3 linked regions of the Lepisosteus oculatus genome follow. The protein of the gene in region 1 binds, or shares a complex with, the protein of each later gene. Links are inferred from orthologs where the notes say so. Each region holds a gene or a part of one and is shown in the gene's direction. Other genes may lie near its edges. The genes, in order: irf2bp2a, vgll4b and zbtb16a.

Region 1 (7,634 bases):
TTTTTATGTTCTATAATTACCCAACATGTTTTCTGTGTTCCGAACTTGTCATTACACAGAACTGGTGGCATAAAATACATCAGACTGCAAGCCGCAGAACACCGCAGGGATCCAGGCTAGATGTGGCAGATTAAAGCCATCATGTGTTGTGTTGACTGAAATTAAATATTTTCATCTCTTAGCTGAAAACGAAAAAGCTGAGTCAAGAGGCACAAACATTTATCTTACTTACTGAGGCGTCTGATCAAACTTGTCTTCGTGCCAGGCCTATTTTGTAACACGGCCTTTTGTAATGACCAGAAACGGTATGGCTTTTGTAAATAACCAACATAAATCATGATGTTCTCATTGTAATTACTATTTCAAGTTGCCTTGTAAGCACATTTTATAGTCCACCACAACTTTCTGGAAACATGGCAGTGTGGTATGAAGCTTGAAAAAAAGGGTATGTTACAGACAATCTGACAATCACCCTGATGGGGGCTGGCCTGCAACAATGTATAACATCGGACAAGTGCCTTTCTCTTTTCTACAGCCTATTCAGACATAAATCACGGATTGTAACAGCACACAATAGACATCTGTTGAGTATTTTTCCTTATGGAGCTCATAACAGAGGTTTGGGAGGAAGGTTAGATCTTAATCATGCACACTTCCGCTCTGCTACGTATATATATACATATCTCGCCTGGCGGGACTTCCCTTTGCGCATTTCTGTCGCACCCCTCCTGCCACCACATCCCCACCCTTGCAGCGGCTCCCTGGCTCATTCCTGCTGAGAGAGAGGGGGGTTCATTCAGCCTCATCCTTACAGTCAGACTGCCATTCCCCCAGCTAGGAGAAGCAGTACAATACACCCTCAAAGACACATTCATTAGGACCTCACCAAACTACTGACTTGAGAAATGAGGCACATTTTTAGATGAAAGACCACTCATTTATAACACTGCATTTTTCACACATCTCCGGTTAACAAAACCATGTATCTTTCTTCATCCATTGGGCTCCCAACGCATTTTCAGGAGGAAAAAAAAAAGATTTGACCTGACACAAGAATGGTTATTTTAACCCAAACACTCGGGAGTAAACGATTCTGCTGAGTAAAACCAATAAAAACATAGAATCATGTTACATATTACAATGGCAATCTTGGCACTATGTCCCAGTTACAAACTTCTCTACAGTATGGACCCCTATTGTTTGTAGTAGTGTCGCAATAAAGTGTAATGTGCAACACAAACCTTTTGTTTATGTGTGTCTATACAGTGAAAATGCATGCAAGCAATCTTAAAATAAATATCCTGAAGTCCAGTAGTGCAATCCATAACTAGATAACCCGAAAAAGTGTTAATTGATGTCTTCAGTTCACATTGATGTCAAACTAAAACAGCAAAGATATGAAAGAATTTCCTCTTAAGTCTCATCAGGGCTTTTCATACTTTTAACTTAACTCAAATTTTAAATATCCATCCTAAAGGAAAATACATTATTACATGCATTTTTGTACCATTTTTAAAAACTTTCGCAAAGAATTAAAGTAGTTTTCCTGCAACTCCCTGTTACAGCTCAAACTACTTGTAATCTTTTTATATCGCATGTGTTACCAGTGGTCTTTCAAATGAATACAAGGATGAAAAACTACTTAAGAGGAACAGTACAAACGAGGCATCTGGCAGTTCAGACAGATCAGTCGAACTTTCTAGATACAGTCAAATTTTAGAATACATCTCCGTTTGTCCTTGTCTGGAAATGCCTTTTAATTTACAGCAATCACTCAACGTTTCCGCGTCCATTGAGAAACACGTTTGTACCTCATTTATGAAATCCTAATCTAAATCTTGCAAAACTGTGAACCGAATTTTAGGACCACGCCTCTGATTACAAACTAAATATAGTCTTAACAAGCGCCTTTTAGTAACTTCCGCCATTGCAGATTAAAATTAGTAATGCTTCGGGTTTTTTTTTTCTGGGACGTAACACAACTACGCAAAAACAATAATCAGAGCAAGGTCTGCAAGCTAGCATCTTTGAAAAACACCAGCATGCAAACTGAAACAGCACTAAGTAGCCCGAATGCTTAAATGCCATTGAAAGCAGCACACTAGCACAATACTATAATGGTGTTTTTTGGGGCAGGTCTGATTCCGGGAGCCAGGCAGTGGCACTGCGCATGCCCCGGTCTCTGGCTCGGCGCCAGGTGGTTCAGCTTGTTGTTCTAGCGGGGTTGGGCGAGGTAAGACGCGGGTACGTGACTAAACATCTTACTTCCTCTTTCGAACGTCGTCACGAGGGCTTTGCAAAAACAAATTCTGCTTTGTGTCTGCAGATTTCAGACGCATTGCCTCACCCGTGAAAACTGAGCAGCAGCAGCAGCTACGGCCAGTTTGGAATCAGGCCAATTTCATCAAGGCGGTGAAAACAAAACAAAATTACCGGTTATAGTTTTGCCTGCCCTGGTGAAGTTAAATATGCGGGTAGCTGGGCGTTCAGTCTGCTCTCTTGCATTCATGCAGAAAAAGAAATGCAGTTTAAATGATTTTTTCGCGTCCATTGCACGTAATTACGACCCTTTTCTTTCGGTTAAAGCCAATTCTGGATTTTTTTTTCCCTTTGAGAGATCACAGTTTTCAGCGGGAGACAATACCACTACGTGAAAGTACGAAGAATAAAACGTTTTTAAAACTGCACATATTGGTTTTAAAACGATTTAAACATCTTCCGTTTCAAGGAATGACATTATTTCCGATTTGCCCTATGCAATGCGGTGCAAGTATCAGATTGTTACTTTTAAACATCAGTTTGTTATTGTAGTCGGAATAAATAAAGTCCGCTACTTTAAAAACGGGAGATTTTCTGAGGCGCTGCGTTTGTACATCTGCACCTCTGTGGTAGTTTAAAAACAACACGACCTGTTGCTATCTTTTGAACTGGAAATCCCCAGGCCATGCGACAGCTGAAAACCTGAATGCTAAGTGTTTGGTTTCGGCTTCATTTCCTTTGTGTAATTTAAGAAAGCAGTTTCAATAGATTGAAAAAAACGCCTACTCACTCCAGTGTTTAAAATGAATAGAGTGTGCAGCTACTGTAGCATTTCCAATAGTAACAAGCCTGTGACGGCCACATGACAAGGTCAACATAAGCCCAGAGAATAATATTTATTGGCAGGGAGAATATTCGTTCTAATTGCGACCTATTAATACAGTACTGTGCAGTATAACTTGGTTATTTTTGCATCGTGTTATTCGTCTACATAAATTACCAATGCGTTCTATTGCTTTTAGTTATGTGAATGCAATCGGATACATACTATTTATATCGCCGAACAGTAAAATGTAACACATTCGCTACACGTATGTTACAAATTATATCCAGGAATAAACACTCCTCTGTGGCTGCCACCGGCATACCTAAATGTGAGGTTTGTAAAGCCCATCTTTCTGTTGCGTTTATAATTTAGTGCCGGGCTTCACGAAGTAGCACAAATTACGCTCAACGATGTCCGTTTTAATATCCTTAAAGAATTATACTGCCAGTAACATGTGGGGCGAAAATTAGACATGACTTCTGCGTACTCAGGAATTTGTCTTTCTTTTAAAAAAAGAGGGGGGCACGGAGACGATTGCAGAACTCAGTCCGCAGAATGCAAGTCGAGCGAGCTGTTGTTTTCACGGTTAGCTGAGGGCGGTGTCGAGTGTGACGCGGCGCTGGTATTCTGGCTGGAATGTGGATTTGCTAAATGGGTCTGGGAAGTGCCAACTGCATAGAGTCACGTACTTATTGAGCATGCGTGGAACAGCCGGGAAACTGGAGAACATTGGTGACGCAACTGGCAGAGTCTGGTTGCTTAAAGGGCATTAACACTTTGTAGCCGGGATCCACCGTCTCCTTCCAAACGAATACCTACCACAACCTAGTTTTCAAATGCACTAACGCAGCAATATATATATATAAAAAAAAACTATAACATAAGACTACCGCCACCAATTCAGTGATTTCCACCGGTCACGACTGGCATCTCTCCTTACAATTTCCACTTTCCCCCCACAGACTGAAAACATGCTGACATCGCTTTTGTCTGCTGAAATCGGGCGCAATCCGACCTACTGCGACGGTTTGTTTTTTTGCGGTTTTAAGGACACACCACGCAGGAATGGTGTTTTCATTAAAAAAACAAAACCAAAAAAAACACCACCAACGTAGTCCCCCACGTAGGTTATCCAGCACGTTTTTTTTTTTAAAAAAGCAAAGCACATTAAAGTTTTTTTTTCCCTCCTATGAATAAGGTCTTCCCATTGCCACAGTCCTCTCTAAACGGTGCTTTCTTTTTGTTTAATAAATTGAAAGGAGAAACGGAAGCAAAGTACGAGTTGGAGGGAGAGAGGGGGTGGGGGTAGGACAAAACAGCAAACAGTTGAAGTCTGCCTTCCTGCAGTCATCGGCTTTGCGCTCTCGGGCTGAGGTACTGTAGTATTTCTGGCATCGGTTCAATTGATTTTAAAAAAAGGGGGCAGAGACTGCTAGACAGCGCATGCGCTGGAGGGGGGCTGTCGAAGAATCAAGTAAATAGAATTGGAGCTGGAACCACAAGTTTAGTGTTCGCGATGACGTCACCGCTCCACATTGAGCCGGAGCAGTAGTAGTGTGGGAGATAGATAGAGCCGCGCTATAGTAAAGTACACACTGCCATGAACTTCTGTTTGTAACTTAATTGTTGTTGCAGCAGTCAGGAGGGGAAAAAAGGAAACAACAAAAGTTTTTTTTTTCTTTTTCTGGCTGTATCTGATTTTAACAGCAACGAGCACGCAGGCATCTGGAGGAAGACCGTTGAATACTTTTTTTTGCAAAAGCTATGTCGTCCGCGGCGATTGCTGCTTCCAGACGGCAGTCATGTTATTTATGTGACTTGCCCCGCATGCCGTGGGCTATGATCTGGGATTTTTCTGAGGCTGTCTGCAGAGGATGTGTCAACTACGAGGGAGCAGACCGGATTGAGTTTGTGATCGAGACAGCCCGGCAGCTGAAGAGGGCTCACGGCTTCCAGGAAGGGAGATCGCCGGGGCCGGTGAAACCTCAGCTCTCGGGGAAGGAGATCCAGCCCATCAACCACACGGCGGCGGACCCGGGATCTCGCCTGCCGCAGCCCCTGGATCGCTACCCCCTCGCCTCGGACCGGCCGCCGCGACTCGGTCCAGAGTATCCGACTGGCAGGCAGTCTAACGGCATCCCTGTCCCAAATGGATTCCCCAAACCCGACGACCCCCCGGAGCTGAACAGGCAAAGCCCCAATCCCCGCAGGACTAGCACGGTCCACGCGAATATAGTGCCTTTGGTGAACGGGACCCTGCCGCCCGTGCACGCTGTCAACGGCAGGTCGGCGCAAATGGGCATCCCGGCGGCGCTAACAGCGGCCGGCCAGAACGAGATCAGCGGCAAGCGGCCGGCCTCCGTGTCCAGCACGGAGCACGACAGGGAGCTGAAGGACAAGCACAGGGCGGACAGCCTGTCCGAGCTGGGGGAGAGCCACAAGAACCGGCCGGACGAGTGGATTACCAAAGGGAAGACGGTCAGGGACTTAATGGCGTTCCACACGATGGACGGCCGGTACAAGAAGGACCACGCAGCGATGCCACAGGGCAGGGTGATGGGCTACGACGCCAACGCCACCGCTTCGAAGCCAGGTAAGCGTCCCCCGACAGAGCCCCGCTTTTCTTTCGCCCCCTGTTTTCGCTGAGCGTGTGTTTTCAGACCAGAAGGACGCGTCTCGACTGAGTCAGCCTCTCTTGCAGCAGACGTGCTAACGGGTATTTCCGCTGATTATCATTCTTTTCGTGTGAGGGCTCAGGGCTCTACTGTACAGGGGGTGATTACAGTACACAGCAGCACGGTTCCCTGCCCGCCTCATTTTTTCCATGTGTTATTTGTGTTGTAATTTAAAACGTGGGGGTTTGCAGTGCGGATCAAAGAGCGGACCGAAAGCGGTGCCTGTTTAGGGCTTTCATGCATGATTTGATGTGCTTGCCGTTAGCCCAAATTTACGTGTTGTTTTTTAAACTTCCCCAACCCCTCCCCCCCTGCCGCCACCACCACCACCACCACCACCACCAGACAGAGGCAAGCATCCCCGGAACATGAAGAGAAAGGCGTCGCCAGAGCCCGAGGGAGAGAGCACCGCCGGGAAGATGAATGGCGAGGGTCAGTGGCAGCCGGCCGCGGCGGAGGTCCTGAAGATGCCCACGGTGCCCCCGAGCTTCGCCACGGCGCCGTCCACCATCTCGCCCCATTCCAACCGCACGACCCCGCCGGAGGCCGCGCAGAACGGCCAGTCGCCGATGGCCGCCCTCATCCTGGCGGCGGACAACGCTGGGGGCAACAGCTCGCCCAAGGATGCCAACCAGGTGCACTCGACCACCCGCCGGAACAGCAACAGCCCGCTGTCGCCCTCCTCCATGAGCCAAAGGAGACTGGGGCAGAGGGAGGCGCCGGGCGCGGGGACGCCGCACGTGCCGGGCATGGACCAGGTGCACCCGCAGAGCATTCCAGACTCTTCCGTGCCCAACAGCATCCCGCTGTGCTGCACCCTCTGCCACGAGCGGTTAGAGGACACGCATTTCGTGCAGTGCCCGTCCGTGCCGTCACACAAGTTCTGCTTCCCGTGTTCCAGGGAGAGCATCAAGCAGCAGGGCGCCACCGGGGAGGTGTACTGCCCCAGCGGGGAGAAGTGTCCACTGGTGGGCTCCAACGTGCCCTGGGCGTTTATGCAAGGTGAAATAGCCACCATTCTTGCAGGGGACGTCAAAGTAAAAAAGGAGAGGGACCCTTGATTTTATTATCGTTTTTTTTTTTAAAAAAAAACAACGACAACAACAACAAAATATATAAATATAAATTACACGCATACCATCCAAACAAAACTAATGGACTTGTACATATTGGACGCGAGCGAGGAAAGTGTATACTTCATAAACATGGCTGTATAATTTTTGATTTTTGAATACATTGTGTTTCTATATTTTTGAAGATAAAGGTATGTACTCATTATAATGGACTACATTTCCACCCCTTTTTTGTTGATGTTTAAGCCGACTCTCTCGATGTTACCTTTTCGGTCTGGTGGCAGTTTCTGTTAAACGTAGAATGTGACTAATGCTACTCTAAGCACTTGACGCAACTGAAATGCTTTTAGCTGTACTTGTATGCACTTGTTTAAAAAAATTGCCAAATACAATTTCTGACCTTGTAATAATAACTTAGTGTCTGTGATTGCTTATTCTTCGTAATCAGCAAAGCCCTAGAGAGAGGTCTACCCTGCCGATAATGGATCAACGCAGCTAGTGACGCAATTAGCTGGAGCACGAAACCAGCGATAGTGTAACACAGCGCAGAAAAGAGAACCGATATCGAAGCCGTAGGCTTGCTCGTCTTCCTAAAGCATTGCATGTCTCGACACTTCCGCGACGGGCTTGTTTTGGCTCGGCAACAAAATATTTCCCTCATTTGTCAGCACTGAATAACAAAAACTGCGAGGCGGCGAAATACATCTGTGTCGTTGTGTGTGTGTGTGGGGGGGGGGGCAGTGAGTGACCTACTGTACGTCTTCCTAAATAGGTCTCGTAATTGTGGCGTTTTGTAAATGG
Region 2 (7,240 bases), on another chromosome or scaffold:
TGAAGCATGAATCAATATTGTCAACATGTGACCTGAAAAACCTGAATTTTGACACCGTTGGCAAACCTCACATGCAAAGGATTTCAAGACTTTTGTTTGAATGGTTCACTTTCATTCTTGAGATCATAAGTAATATGATCTATATTAATATGTAATAGTTTAGTACAACATGATGGATTAGCCTTTCATGAGCTTTAGAGCTGTACAGTAAAGGTTCCTTTATATCAAACAGTATAGCTACAGAAAATGTTTCCAATCAGCGGTAGAGCATGTTGCCCTGAAAGTCTTTTGTGTTAATAACCTGAGTTTTTGGAAGTCAGCCTTTTAATTTTATTATTACCTGAATGTCCATTATGTGTGTAAATGTGTGAAACAATAGGCTAGATCTGTTTTCGCTGCTGTTTTTTTAGCTATTATTCCCTCTGCCTCAAACCCATTTAGGACCTGTCAATTTAAAACAGTCCGCATTTGACTGAATATTTGACAAGGTCAACAAAGCATTTCTAGCAATTAGTGAAACCTAGAATGACAGACACTGTGGCTGGTGTCCTGCTGACCCTTCTGAGTGTTTGGTTGATGGGTATTGAAAATGCGAAGTGAAGCAGATTTATTCCAAGCAGTAATTTATTCTCAATCCTCTATTCTGAAGCAGAACAAGTCCTTTGGGGGTGGGGGGATTTCCGACTCTGTGATTCTGGATAGTTTACACCTTTACCTGTCCCCTTAGGAGTCAGTCATCCATCTAACTGTCTAATGAAATGCATTCACAAACCTTCCACAGTCACAGCTGCAGTGTGGATTGATTGAAGGTAGTGAGGTTTGCCCTGATTGATGAGATTTTCATCACTCTGATGACCTGGAATAAATCGCAGGTGCAGAGCAGAGGATTTTGGGAGTGTTGTAATGGTGGTTTGTGAAAGCCTTACCACCTGGGTGTCTACCCACCTGCAGTGCGATGTTGTGATCGTCTAACGTCTTGTCAGGCTCTAAATCCAGGTGGACTAGACAAGTCGGGTTTTGTGCAGTGTAAACACGTTTCAGGTGGAGCCCTGTGACTCCTGCGTGTTTAAACCTAATTCAAGAAGACGTTGCTATATTTCATTTCTTTCATCTTAATGCAAGGCAAACCCAATCCGCAGCAAATGAGAAACCACATGTTCTGGAAACTACCTCTGATGTGTTTTTTTTACCTCTTTATTGGACAGTACAGAAACACAGTGTGCGCCACTGGGTGTTGTAACCTGGAGTCTTTCCTGTAAGCACTGGGCATGCAAGGAGGGCACCCTTGATGCGATGCCTGTGTCCTGCAGGGCATGCACACACCAGGAGAATTTAGAGATGCTAGTTATCATAGCCAGCACATCCCTGGAAGGTGTGAAGAAATAGGAGCAGGCAGAAAAGTCCCATGTGGACATAAGGAGTATATGCAAACTCCAGGATCCTTCCAGAGACCAGTGATAATAACTGTGGCTCTGTGCTGGCCTTACATGCATATATAATAGTTTTATAACGTATAACAAGATCTATCAGTAGGACAGTGCTGTTGATCATCTTCTTACTGAAATCTTACTAATCCCACATCTTAATTAATAATTCCTTACACTTATATTGCACTTTTCTGGACACTCCAGTCCATTTCTCTACCATTTCTAAAGGTTCCTGGGCAGCATGTTAAAGAAACAGAGTAAAGATCATGGATTGCTAAAAAATGATTTGCAGTAGTAACATTGGTAGATGAGAAAATTAAGGAAAATTGTTGCTTAAGTTTTTTTACTTAGAGGTTTCCTCTTCTTATTGCAGCCTGTTAATAAATGATATGTTCTGTCTGTTCAAAGACAAGCTGTTCATGCCTTTTAAAACATCCTTGTTGGACACACTTTCTAGCAAAAATGCTTTGAATTGCTTTACTTCAGTGAGAGTTCATGAGACCTATCATTAAACCCCACAAAATGCTGGCTTTAATTTTTAAAAATTCAAGACCTAGCCTTGAACGTCATGAAAATTGAATTCTGGATATATTTACCACTAGGGGTCAGTGTAGTATTGCATGGAATTTTGCATACTGCGTTTCAAGATCAGCATTAAAGCTCATAGCTTTTATTTAGAAATTTAGCTGGGGATTGTCCACAAAAGAGTTGCAAGTGATGGATTGTCAAGCATCTAGTTGAATTTATGGTTTGTGCTCATGTTTTTTGGAGGAGTTAAAATCTTTGGTTTTACTTCTGATTCTCCTTGTTAATATCAAGGATATGTTTGTTTGTGCTGTAGTATTTATAATTATTTCAGGTTTTACAGACTGAATGGCTGCCCTGTGTCTCTAGATTGTCTTTCAAGTTTCATCTTTAATGAAAGTGGTCTTAAAAAGAGTTCACTAAATCTGTTAACTGTTTTAAAAAGTGTCAGTTAATCGTAGATGTATATGCAACTACAACTTCATGACTAACCATAGTGAATCTAAAGCCAAACATTTCTTTCTTAGTCTGTTTAATGTTTTAATTTCTGTCATCATATTTCAAAGCATTAAGCAGGATGTGTGCACACCTATTACTTTGGGTTAGCTTGGATGGTTATATAAAACTTCTTCCCAGAACCTGATGTTTACTTTTGTGGAGAACATAAATCCTGCTTAGCTAGAACATACTTAACGCAGAAAACAATACTGACTTCTCAGTAATTGCTCTTTGAGAGAGATTATGTAGGGCTAAAATCCTCAGAATACCACAGAACCCTGGGAGATTTCATAATCAACAGAATTAAAAGCTTCCAGGAGACGGTTCCTAAAAATACATTTCTTCACATTTACTTTTTTACCATGCCTTCGAGGGCTAAAACTCATTCATATGAGTACTATTTTCTTTACTGTAAAGGTTTTTCAATATAAAAAGTGTTTTTTTTCCTCCTCGAAGTTATATGTCAACATGCTTTTTATTCTAAACTCAAAGCAGGCATTTCAGTACGATAACCTTTAAATATAACTAAGACTGGAGTTTAGGTACTGATAATTCATCTAAAGACATCTTAACCTATGTTAAAAACACAAGGACTATGCAGAAGCTTTCTTTGGGAAAATGTTTGAATTCAGGGTTGCGTCTTCATTTGCAATATGCAACAAGATGATAAAATGATGAAATGTTAAGAAATAAAACTGCTCATACACATGGTTTCTATAGCGGTTCTATTCTGCTCCTGGCCTATAGATCTCCGTTTAATATTTTGTAATTAATTGTAGCATTGTTAGTACACGTTATAGACATACATTTGATTATTTGATCTCTGGCTGTTAAAGTGGGATTTCTTGGAAAGGGGTTTTCCAGTGTAAAACCACAATCCTCTGTTATTGTAGAGATTGTATCTTCTGATACCTCTATCTTGTATAAAGCATTGTTTACATTTCTGATAGGGCCTTCGCTATAGCTTAATCCATGTAGAATGTGAGACTTTCCTAAGCTGCAATATTGTGTACATGTCTTACTGCTCTGAAGTCCACGATTTTACCTTAAAAGTGTTTTTGAATGTATATTTGTGTTATTGTTGCTATCAACGTGTCGTTACACTTTTTGAATTGTTACTGTGTCAAATACAGATGTTAAAAACCAGATAAAGTAGCCGTGGCCTGCCAAGAAATTTTTAGAAATAACGGAGACATTTGGTTGTTTCAGCAGCTTGCTGATTACTGATGTCATGTCAGCTTTGCCTTTAACAAAGTTTTTTTTTATAATTAATATAATAATTGCTTACACTTATATAGCGCTTTTCTTGACACTCCACTCAAAGCGCTTTACAGGTAATAGTGACTCCCCTCCACCACCACAAATAAATATGAACATTTGTGAATATTTTTTTGTCCAATTAAAAGCGGGATAGTTTAAGAATTAAGATCAGTTCATTGACAAGCAAAACTCCTAAATAATATTTGGGCGTACAACGGGCAGATTTCAGTCTTACAATCTCTGTATGGAACAAGACTTTATTATTAGATCAACCGGTTTTTTTTTCTGTGCTCTTGCAGATTTTATACTGAACTCCAATGATTGAAATGCTCTAAATATAAATACTATGTGTGGGGAAAGTAAGGAGACTGTGCATCCTTGAAAAGACCTCTTTGTATTTTATTTTCGCAGAGGCAGCACTGTTTCCTGTGACACGCAGTTCTAACATGGCTCCGCCTTTTTTTGGGGGGGCCCCCTTTCCATCTCTTCGTGATTTCCCTCACTCGCTCAAGCCCTCGACGCTTTTGGAGGGCTGATCTTGTGCAGAAAAAATCCCTGACATTTGAGGCGCTCCAGGGATTTAACGAGCATGCCCAGTGGCCAGAGCCTACATAGAGGAAACTGGTTTACATACGAGTCATACCACGCATAGCCTGCTTGTCAGTGCAGTTAACTTGCAGCGGGCTGTGAGGAGAACTGGCGCGTCTCTCTTTTTGTCCCAACAACAGTTTCAAAATCTATTTTTAAAGCGCAGCATACACAAGGGTTTTCTAAAAACCTTGCGAAAACCGCAATACGGCCCCTTACTTTTAAAGAAAGCATCACCCCTTGACGGGTTGAAGTTTTTTTTTGTTTTGCTTAGAGAGAAGTTAAAGGCTGGGCCTTTAGCTTTTGAAGTTGTGTGCTAGACAAGCTGAGCGAGCGGTCGTGCCGTTTTCTCTCTCTCTCTCCTGGGTGGAAGCAAACAAGCTGGTCTTTTTGCTAACCCAATAAATGCTTCTTACGAAAATGGACCTGTTGAACTACCAGTATCTGGACAAAATGAACAACAACATTGGGATTCTTTGCTACGAAGGTAAACCGTAACTTTTCGCGTGTGTGTGCGTTTCTTTTACCCCTAGCGTTTACATTGTTGCTTTTCAAGGCCATTGTTGTAGTAGCGGTGTCAAATTATCCAGGGGGGTTTTCAGATGTTTTTTTAGTGACGTCTTCGGATCGGTGCCTTATTTTTAGCACACAAAACCTTGCTTTCATGAAAATATATCGCCTCTGTAATTTAATGTTAACACGATTTGATGAGATTCCTTGCTACGTTGCATAATTAGTAATGTAACAGGTTGGCGGGGGGAAAAAAAGTGTCTTGAGGGCACGGAAATTGCATCACGTCCCAGCTTAGCTGGTACAGACTACTCCTTTTCCTACTACTTTTAAAATAACATGGTTTCGGAGACGTGACTTCGTATTAACAAAGGGATGCCGTCGTCTGGTTTTTGACAGTGTTGAAATGGCAGTGTTCAGAGGTGGGGCGGGTGTAGTACAGACTTCAATCTTTGTTTGACTTATTTCCTGGGCTGAACTGAGGACGGGGGGAAAAAAAAATCACCGACAGTGGACGATGTTTCCTGCCCCGTAGTGGGGAGTAATCGGACACACTAACCCCTCCCTTCCTTGAAGGAAAGCGAGCTTTTATCAATGAGGAGATCGAGTTCGTCGTGTAGTGAAAGTTAATTGCTGTGCTGCTTATGAAATATGTGCTGAGTGAGGTGTCCGGTGAAATATCTTGCGACCACGTCTTTACTACGTGCAAACTGAACGAATTACAATGGCTTGCCGACATAACGGAAAGAAGGCCGTACTCGACTAATTAGATTTGAGAATGCAGTGTTTTTTTGTTAACTGAAACCGCACACAGACAGTTGCTGCAATTTATTTCTAGGGAAGGCCAGACGCTTTCCCGAAGTTTGGAAGTAGTTGAGAGAAAGTTTAGCGTCATTGTCATTTGGAGAGGAGAGATTTGTCCTTGTAAAGAGACATATGGTTTTCATACTTAGCTTAAAAACTTTAATTGTTTAAAGGAAGATTCTTTACAGACCAGTTGCTGTGGTCTCTTTTTTTGCTTTCCTGTGATGTGTCCGGTAATTTAAAACCTAGTTCAACAATAAAACGTTTTGAATGTCACGCTGCTGTCACAACGCAGTGTGGCTCTCAGTTTTAGAATTCATCTTTGATTTCTATCATAACCACAGAAATCACAGTCCTGAAATGGTTTTTCAGGGTTTAACAACTATACCGGGTGGGGAAACTAAAGACATCGCGGTAGTTATGTTTCTGTAAGATCAAAACCAGTTTTCGTATACAGTACTTGTTCAATGTTTCTGTAGCTTGTCTTGTTAGAATGTTCCAGTTGTGATCATCTCCAGTTATCTGAAGATCTTGACTGTAAAACACTACAGCAGACAGCATTTAAAACCTGGGCTTATCAGATACTCTAAAGTTCAAAATTAGCCTTATCTGTGTTTTAGTACTACTGTATATATTTGAGCTGAGGTATGATGTTTAAGTTAGCAATGCAGCAAATGGACACTTTTCTGTGCTAGTGTGGAGTAGTGAGATCTGCTGATGGTTTTCCTATTAAAAGCGGTTCAAGGGATTCCGTTATCTGTTGAATGTCTTGAGGTTTGAGCTTATCAGAGAAACTCCAGGTCTTGTCTGAATGGTCTGGGAGTCTGGGCAGCTGAAGCACTCTGTACCAGCCTCCTGTTCACAGCAATCACTTGTCAAATGACAGTAATGTGATATGGGCTGCATTCTGAGCAGAAACATCTGTGGTTCGTTCTGATTTGTACTCTGTTCAGATCAGGAAGCCAGTGCACTGTAAGGTGGCGAAGCTACAAAGCGTTCAGGTTTTTCATATTCTAGTTCTGAAGGTAGCAGAAAATGTGGAGTCCTGGTGTAAAACCTTTAATTGCTCCGTTGGCGAGCCAGGGTTTGTGCTACGGAACTTTTAAGGAAGGTTTTGGATCCGTTTCTCCAATTTACAGTTGCAAAGAAAGGCCAATCGTAGACAATGGCAACGAACTAAGCTGTAAGTTTATTCTCACGTGTGGAGGAGAAGTTATGTTGCAACATGTGTTTCCCCGTGTTGCCATTAAGGTGCAATGTTTTACAAGGCCATTCCAAAGATTATTGTATATATACAGAACCTGCTTTGCAATGTTTCTGCATTCGAACTGTACATTTACAGTAAAAAAGAAGAAAAAGTTTTAGATTAAGACACTTTCCAGAACTTTCCAGTGATCCTTACTACATGGCTAACTTAGGCACAGCACTCTCAAAGACTTTCTTCTCTTTGAAATTCCTTAGTAAGCATGCTCGGGGCTTAAAGTGTTTTGAACTCAGTAGGTGTTTCTGCTGCAATCAGTCAAATCAAAGAAAGTATTTGTAAGAACCCCCGAAGTGTGGCAAATCTTAAATATCAGCAATCTTTGGTCATAAATTCTTGAATTGCTGTGATACATCCATTATGATCT
Region 3 (6,954 bases), on another chromosome or scaffold:
ATTGCTTTGTACTGTACAGTATATACAAAGGTATATAGAGTTAAAGTACATACCAGACTATAGACTATAGATAAGTACTTTAGACTCAAGGTGTCCACTGTAGTCAAGGTGAGAGTCGGGGTCTGATCAAAGCTTTCCCTGTTACCATCTCACCATTTGGTCTGGGGATCACATGTATTAGTCAGCAATCCACAGTTGTATAGGTAAATTGATTTTCTATGCAAGTGCTTACCAGTCTCAGTTTGTAATGGATTGTGGAAAGCAGAGTTTCGGCATAATACAAAATAACTGAAAGCTGGAATATGTACAGTACAGATTTTCTTCTCTGTGTGTAATACGAGTCCCAATACCATCTCCCATAACTTTTACTTTGCAATCCTGCACCTCATTGTCATTAATAGATGGATAAATGTTTTACAGTGTTATCAGAGCACTTGCTTTCAGATCAGTGGCTTCAGCTGTGTACAGCAGGTGTTATCTTGCAGCTCCTCGTTCTGACTCTGAATCAGAGTGGCCCATAGTCTGTGTCAAAGGCTGGCAAACTGCCGAAAAAGCCCAGCCTCCCTCTCTCACCTTACTCGTCCTAAACTCAGGCATTAATCTCACTTTAACGGCATTAACCACCCCCAGGCTTCAAAGCAGGGCCTGAGAAAACAGAAAGGAAGATTTCTTCACAATGAATATTTGTGGTTGTTCCTCGCTGCCGAGTGTTGTTTCAAGACACCAATCCCCTTTCTCTCAGTGAAACAGGGATTAATTGAAGATTAAGGCCTTTCCTTTTTTCTGTATCCAGAAGTAAGTCTCAGGAAACCAAAGCACAGAGGTTAAAAAGTACCTTGTGACCACAATCTGAATGACCCTGAAATTTTAATCGTGGTGGAGTACTTTTTGCCTTTTTATTTGGAGAATAAAGATTATAATATTTTCGTCAATGCCATATGTATATTAAATATTTCTTTTTACAATCTGTGGTAGTCATAAATAATCAACAATGGGTATTTGGAACATATAGAATACTGGTTAGTATTTTATTCACTGTATGGATTAATTAATAGTCACGCTCTTGAAGCAAGCAACAAGGCTTTCAGTCTGAGTCCACAGTTTATTTTTTTATGAGCATTGTGGTTCTGGGTTTTGAAGCTCTGAAGACAATATACTCTTGAGTTGATGTTTTTTAGGCCAATGCCTGCACATACAGTAAATTAAGGAAGACCTGCTGCACACAAATCTGTATTCAAGTACTAATAAAGGTGTGACCAGAAATAAGTTAGTTCATATAGTTCAATAATGATAATAATAATAATATGCCACTGTATCTTCATAGGTCAATAAAATAGTGTTCTTTCTTACAAAAATCTGTACCCTATGAAGAAACTGCTCTGCTGCTCACTTTATATTCACATCTAAAGTTCCATTGAATGAAAGGCGCATTTTTCCATCACTAACACTTGCTCAGTGCCATCATTTCCAATCTGATATCTTATGTATATTTTTGGAATCCTTGAAAAGGTTATGATTTTCTATCACAACAGTGCATATTGTGTGTGTTTAAAAATGCATACGGGGTTATTTATCTTGTGATTATCGAAACAGATTTTACACAATACACAGAGCACCTTCATCTTTACCACCTTTTTGAACACCCAAATAACACAGTTCAAAACTTAACTTCATGCAGTAATGCAGCTAGCTAAAGGAAATCATTTAGAAAAGCAATTAACAGACTGTTAAACTAATACAAATGCAAACTATACAGTATGTTAAAATCTAAATACCATACTGTACTTTAGGTGTACTATCGCTATTACTACTTCAAATAATTATGATGATGATAGTAATATTGCTTCATTATTAAGGCCAGTATCCTGCACTTCAGCCTTTACATTTCAAGAGTACATTTATGGGTACAGTGCATGTATATCATTCAAAGGAAAAACAATTGAGTCGTGGGTAATGCCGCAATGTAGAAAGTTTAATGGTAAATACCGTATACAGTATATGTGCTTTAAAACAGAGACTTACTGTACAAGGAAGCAGAACTAACAGCTTATACACCAGCCTTAACTGTGTAGCTATTTTAGATAGGGAAAACCACCCCAGGAAAGCATTTCAAATTGTTAAAACAATGTCTATAACATGAGTCTATCAGCTGTTACTTTCATGGAATATTCATAGCTTGAAGAACACACTAGTCATATGAATAGACTGGTTATTTTAAAAAGTCATTGGCACAATGGGTCCTTTTCTCTAAGTGTAATTTTGTAACTTAAAGAAGTGTTAAGAATAACATTTAACCTACTGGTGGGAACATTTTTATTATCCATAAAAATAACCTGCAAAAGTGGTGTGTTTTTTATGCATTCTCATACTCTACTATTTTTTAATGACGGGTACCTGCAGGTCAAATTTAAAGACTAATTATGTCACTTTTTTTTTAGGAATTATGAGGACGGCGCAGTGTATTGTTTCATCTTTCAAGTACAAAACGTTCAGTGCATTGGAGGAATCTGATGTACAACTAAGCAGTTGCGTCTTCCCGTGTCTGTCACGGGATACAGTGTAGAGCAAACTGCTATAGTACTTGTGGAACAATACTTGTAGCTTCAGAAAATCTGATAACTCAGCGAGGATACTATTGAATACAGTATGTCAATCGGGGCTTTGCATGTGCGCTGTATCTTTAAAATGTGTAGATCATCGACTCCATATTTGATGCTGGCAGAAGCGATGCTTTAGCGCTGTCCAGCACTTGTTTTTAGACCTGGTTAATCAGATACTACCCATAGTTACATTGTTACATGTTACAGTGATGCCTAATTAAATTAAATCTAGGCGCTACAAGTGACCTGCAAAACGCAACTGATCGAGCAAAAGACCGTGTCCGTGACAGCGGGGTACTGTCAGGAATTCACTTACAATTATGAAGTTGCGGATCACATGCGTGATGTTGAAATACAGTTTTTGCTCACCACGACGCACGGAGTATTGACTTCTATTGACGGGATCTGTACATCATTTGAAACATCTGATTAAGGTCCGCTAAATGTGCTGCACTGAATCTAACACGCGCAACATATGACTTAAATATTGCTAATAAATCGGGTTTTTTTTTTGCAGCGTGTGTGTTATATACATGGCAGTTGTAATGCCTGTTAATGATCTGCAAAAACAAACATTGTTCACCTGTTTATTTGGCGTCAGTGAGAATTATTTATTTATAGGCTTCTTACACGTTATGTTTTAACAAATTGAGTGTTATGCATAACGCGGCCCCATGCATTTTGTACTTAAAAGTCTATAGTCATTCATATATTTTTAAAAATGTATCATTTCAGGACGACAGTTTACACGTTTTTGTATTCAAGTCTCACAAACATTTTCCATTAAACGTTATTTCACCGTCTAGACAGTGCTATTTTAAAAAAACCTGAGGCTGATGGCATTTTACTGTATGGCATAATTAGTTCCTAAACACGTCCCTCCAAATTTAGTACGCAATTCCTTTCCATCATTTTTCTGTCAGTAAAATGATTTTAGCCTGTTACATTACTCTTTTACAGCCCCGTAATCCGTCATTTGTAGCGCATGTTATTTAAAAGAGCATTTCCACACGTGCCAGATTTAAAACTCCGGTTGAAAAACAAAAAACAAAAGGCGAAGCACACCAAAACTAATCATGGCGCTTCTGTAATTTACTGTATCTACACACGCTCGAAAATACTTTCTCCGTAGTTTTTTTAAAGCCAGCATTAAAGATGGCAGCCCCCTAGGTGTCTCACTTTCGCAGCGTTTTGTGGTGCTAAAGAAAGAAAAAGAGTGAGTCAGTGCGGTGACGTCACCACTGTGTTGATTTGCTAACCCTAAAGCAGAGAGGAGCTAGTGCGTGTGAGAGCGGGTACTGTGAACTGTTGCGTTACTATGCTGCTGCCCCAATAACAACACATTCGGAAATTTAACGTGCAACCTAGGTAAGTACACATATCTTACGGGCTAGCAGCTTCTACACAAATGCATAGCAAACAGTCCCGTCACTCTGCATGCTTATTTGTTTTTGCTCTGCTGTTGGTACAGTAAAAGTGTAAAGGACCAACTCGTCGGTAATGTTACGCTTAACAAACCCCCAGAAGTTACACTGTCTCCAATACCGTGTCGCTAAATCGAGGTCTTCATGATCGCTTTCAGGAGGGGGAGGATGTTTTCGCATTTTGCGAAATACACTGCAAAAGTAATGAGACATTACTGTATGATATTTGGAAATCCAAAGTTGTTTCCATTTGAGAGATTTATAATCATATATATATATAAACGAATTCTGATGTTGACGCTGCTCGCTGTTTTAGTATTCTGGAGATCGCAACAAGAGAAACGTGTGGTCTGACTGTACAGTTGACTGCTCAGCAGACAGTGCCTACCTTGTGAATAGCTTTATCATATGAGGAGATACCCATGTTCTGAATCTGCGGAAGACTGTATACAAACATATTATCATCACAACCATTGTACAGGGTCATTTTATGTGTAAATATTTGTGAAGTAGCTGTAACAAATGCAGTGGCTTCATGCACTTGATGCGTTTACAGACAGTGGTCGCGGGAGCCGTGGTGTGAAATTATTACCAACACCGGTGTGGGTTAGGAAGCTGAACATTTATTGGGCACAGAGATCAGACGGAATGATACTGCACATCATACAGACGAGAAAGTGTTGGATTGGTAGCTAAGGGCTAATAAATCGCTAGATTTTTGAAGCCACCAATTTTCTGCAGGCAAGCCTTTGCGGGCAAAGAAAATTATTTTTAAGGTCTTCTGTAACAGTGAACGTGCAAGGTAGGATTTTACTACTTAGGTGCCTTTTAAAAGAATCAAATAATCCAGCATGGAATTAACATGTCAAATGTTTCTTATTTTAGCATTATGAGAAATTACTATAGGCGATTCACGTGGGTTAATCAGTGGCTTCTCTGAAGTCACCAATTAAAAGCGTGATTCAATCAATTGTAGTTGGGAGAGATTTTTTTCGGGTAGTGGATTATTTTTTTCCGAAATCTCGGAGAAGCAGCGATGTTCAGTAAGTCATTGTGACGGTGTTGTTCTGTTACTGTTATAAATATGTATTAGCGTTTCCATAACATGTTTTCTTTTTCGGGAAATGCGTTATTTTGGTCTGTTTCTCGGTACGCATTCTGTGTTTAACGATACAGTCTACGTTGAAGCCCGGAGTACAGTGGATAATTAGGCAGGGGTAGCATTAATTAAAAATTGCTGTTGTAAAAGTGCGGTGTTTTGTTTCTTGAAACCACAATGTATCGACTTTTTGTGGGTAATATAAAACCGTGCTTCAAAACATTTATAGTAAAATATAGCCTGCTATAACTGTTTACTCCTTAAGAAATATTAGCTAAAACACGAAGCACTTTTGCTTTTGCGCTCTGGAAAGTGCCATGATAGTAAATCTTGTGCGCTTTGTATATTAAGACAGTTGATATTTTTGTGGAATATTTTATAAACTACTTAATACGTTCAGAAGTTTGTGCTTTTCTCCCATGTGTTTTACTATTCTGCTAATACTTTTTAATTTTTTCGCGCAACGGTTAATAATGACGTTTCATGTCTTATAAATAACACAGTAAGTGGAAATTCAATTGAAGTCGTAATCCGACGTCCAATAGCATGTAAATCAAGTCAGTATATGTGCAGTAGACGTGCTTCTTTCGCATGATGACCCTAACCCCACATTCAGATGTCATACAGTATATTGTATATCGATTTAGTTTTAATTATATCGTTACAGAATGCGTTACAGATTTAAACGTATCATTGAAAGCGTTACGAATTGTATTATGTTTGGCAAGAAAGCACAAAATGGGCTATTTCTGATTTTATTCTGAAAAAGCGATGTAAAAGGTGCTCCCAAGAAGTTTTGCATGTTTAAAATACTCAGGGGATATTATGTGCCATGTAATTTATTTTTGCTTATAATGCGCGAAGGTCCATAACGTGTTAAATCTTTTCCCTCGATTTATAGATGAACGTCGTGTTAAGACGTTTAAAATAAAACTATGAAACAAAAATAAGTTTTTTTTTTCTGCAGTAGCAACTGGACTGTCTTATTTCGTGCGTTGGATGAGTTGCATTACACTTAAGAGTTTGAAAAATGTTTTCTGGTAGGCTTTAAGAAAATTCCCAGTCTAAAGTGAAGTGAAGCCTCAGATGATAAAGATGATAAAATATTAAAGATGTTTGTGTACACACATTCATGTACCTTTGTGGTGTTTGTTTACATAATATGTGGTGTTACATTTGCTCAAAACCCAAAGTAGGCAAGTAACTCTTAACATGTATTTTCACAATTTAAAGAAAACTCCAGTTTATGTACAGTACTGAATGCTTACTACAAGAATGCTTCGTGTTGAAATCCCCTCCCTGTTGTGAATGCAGCCGTTTGATTAACCAGTCACATTCCCTTGTATCTGTACAGTCTGCTGATTTACTAGCAATGATTAGGTTTAATCTGTGTTTTGAATGCACTTATAACCCTTTTTCGATGAAAGTATTATGGACCAGAAAGATGCTGTATTTATTTTTATTAGGTAATGCACTTTACTCACCATTAATGTGTAAACTATTCGTTTGCTACGCTTGTAATGCCTGGTAGGATCGATAAAAAGTAAAACGTCTTTCTTTTAAATGCGCAAAAGTTTTTGTTGATATGAAAATGGAAATATGGAATCTCGATCAAAGTTAGACCTTGGCTTGATAGATTTCGTCTAATGCTGCTCTTTTTGTTTAAAAAAATGTAAAGGATTTTTTGCGTCTACAAATGTGCACATTCGTGATTTAAGTTTTCTTTTTGTGAGTTCACAGAGGTCTAAACCATTAGAAATAGATTCATCCTTAAATTTATTTCTTGCAAGAAAAAAAATATTTTCCTGCTTAGGTGGATTGCCAAATACCA

What was found.
Region 2: the proteins of irf2bp2a (region 1) and vgll4b are in contact, whole or in part, in a crystal structure (PDB 8YTF), measured with the Homo sapiens proteins. The link is inferred for Lepisosteus oculatus from reciprocal best matches to the Homo sapiens genes IRF2BP2 and VGLL4. Residues at the interface, in NP_892017.2 of Homo sapiens: Thr516, His517, Phe518, Val519, Gln520, Pro522, Phe531, Leu557, Trp564, Ala565, Phe566, Met567, Glu570, Thr573, Ile574; in NP_055482.2 of Homo sapiens: Arg161, Ser163, Val164, Ile165, Thr166.
Region 3: the proteins of irf2bp2a (region 1) and zbtb16a are in contact, whole or in part, in a crystal structure (PDB 8YTH), measured with the Homo sapiens proteins. The link is inferred for Lepisosteus oculatus from reciprocal best matches to the Homo sapiens genes IRF2BP2 and ZBTB16. Residues at the interface, in NP_892017.2 of Homo sapiens: Thr516, His517, Phe518, Val519, Gln520, Pro522, Phe531, Leu557, Trp564, Ala565, Phe566, Met567, Glu570, Thr573, Ile574; in NP_001018011.1 of Homo sapiens: Arg285, Ser287, Val288, Ile289, Thr290, Ser291.

What each region holds. Positions count from the first base shown.
Region 1 is NC_090712.1:6,536,487-6,544,120, forward strand, and holds irf2bp2a (interferon regulatory factor 2-binding protein 2-A), read left to right. Parts: upstream 1-4,536; 5' UTR 4,537-4,849; coding exon 4,850-5,678; intron 5,679-6,105; coding exon 6,106-6,821; 3' UTR 6,822-7,246; downstream 7,247-7,634. UniProt on the Homo sapiens protein: Acts as a transcriptional corepressor in a IRF2-dependent manner; this repression is not mediated by histone deacetylase activities. Represses the NFAT1-dependent transactivation of NFAT-responsive promoters.
Region 2 is NC_090699.1:62,081,891-62,089,130, reverse strand, and holds the start of vgll4b (transcription cofactor vestigial-like protein 4b), read left to right. Parts: upstream 1-4,217; 5' UTR 4,218-4,703; coding exon 4,704-4,785; intron 4,786-7,240. UniProt on the Homo sapiens protein: May act as a specific coactivator for the mammalian TEFs.
Region 3 is NC_090718.1:9,938,956-9,945,909, forward strand, and holds the start of zbtb16a (zinc finger and BTB domain-containing protein 16-A), read left to right. Parts: upstream 1-3,858; 5' UTR 3,859-3,968; intron 3,969-4,336; exon of another isoform or gene 4,337-4,826; intron 4,827-6,954. UniProt on the Homo sapiens protein: Acts as a transcriptional repressor. Transcriptional repression may be mediated through recruitment of histone deacetylases to target promoters. May play a role in myeloid maturation and in the development and/or maintenance of other differentiated tissues.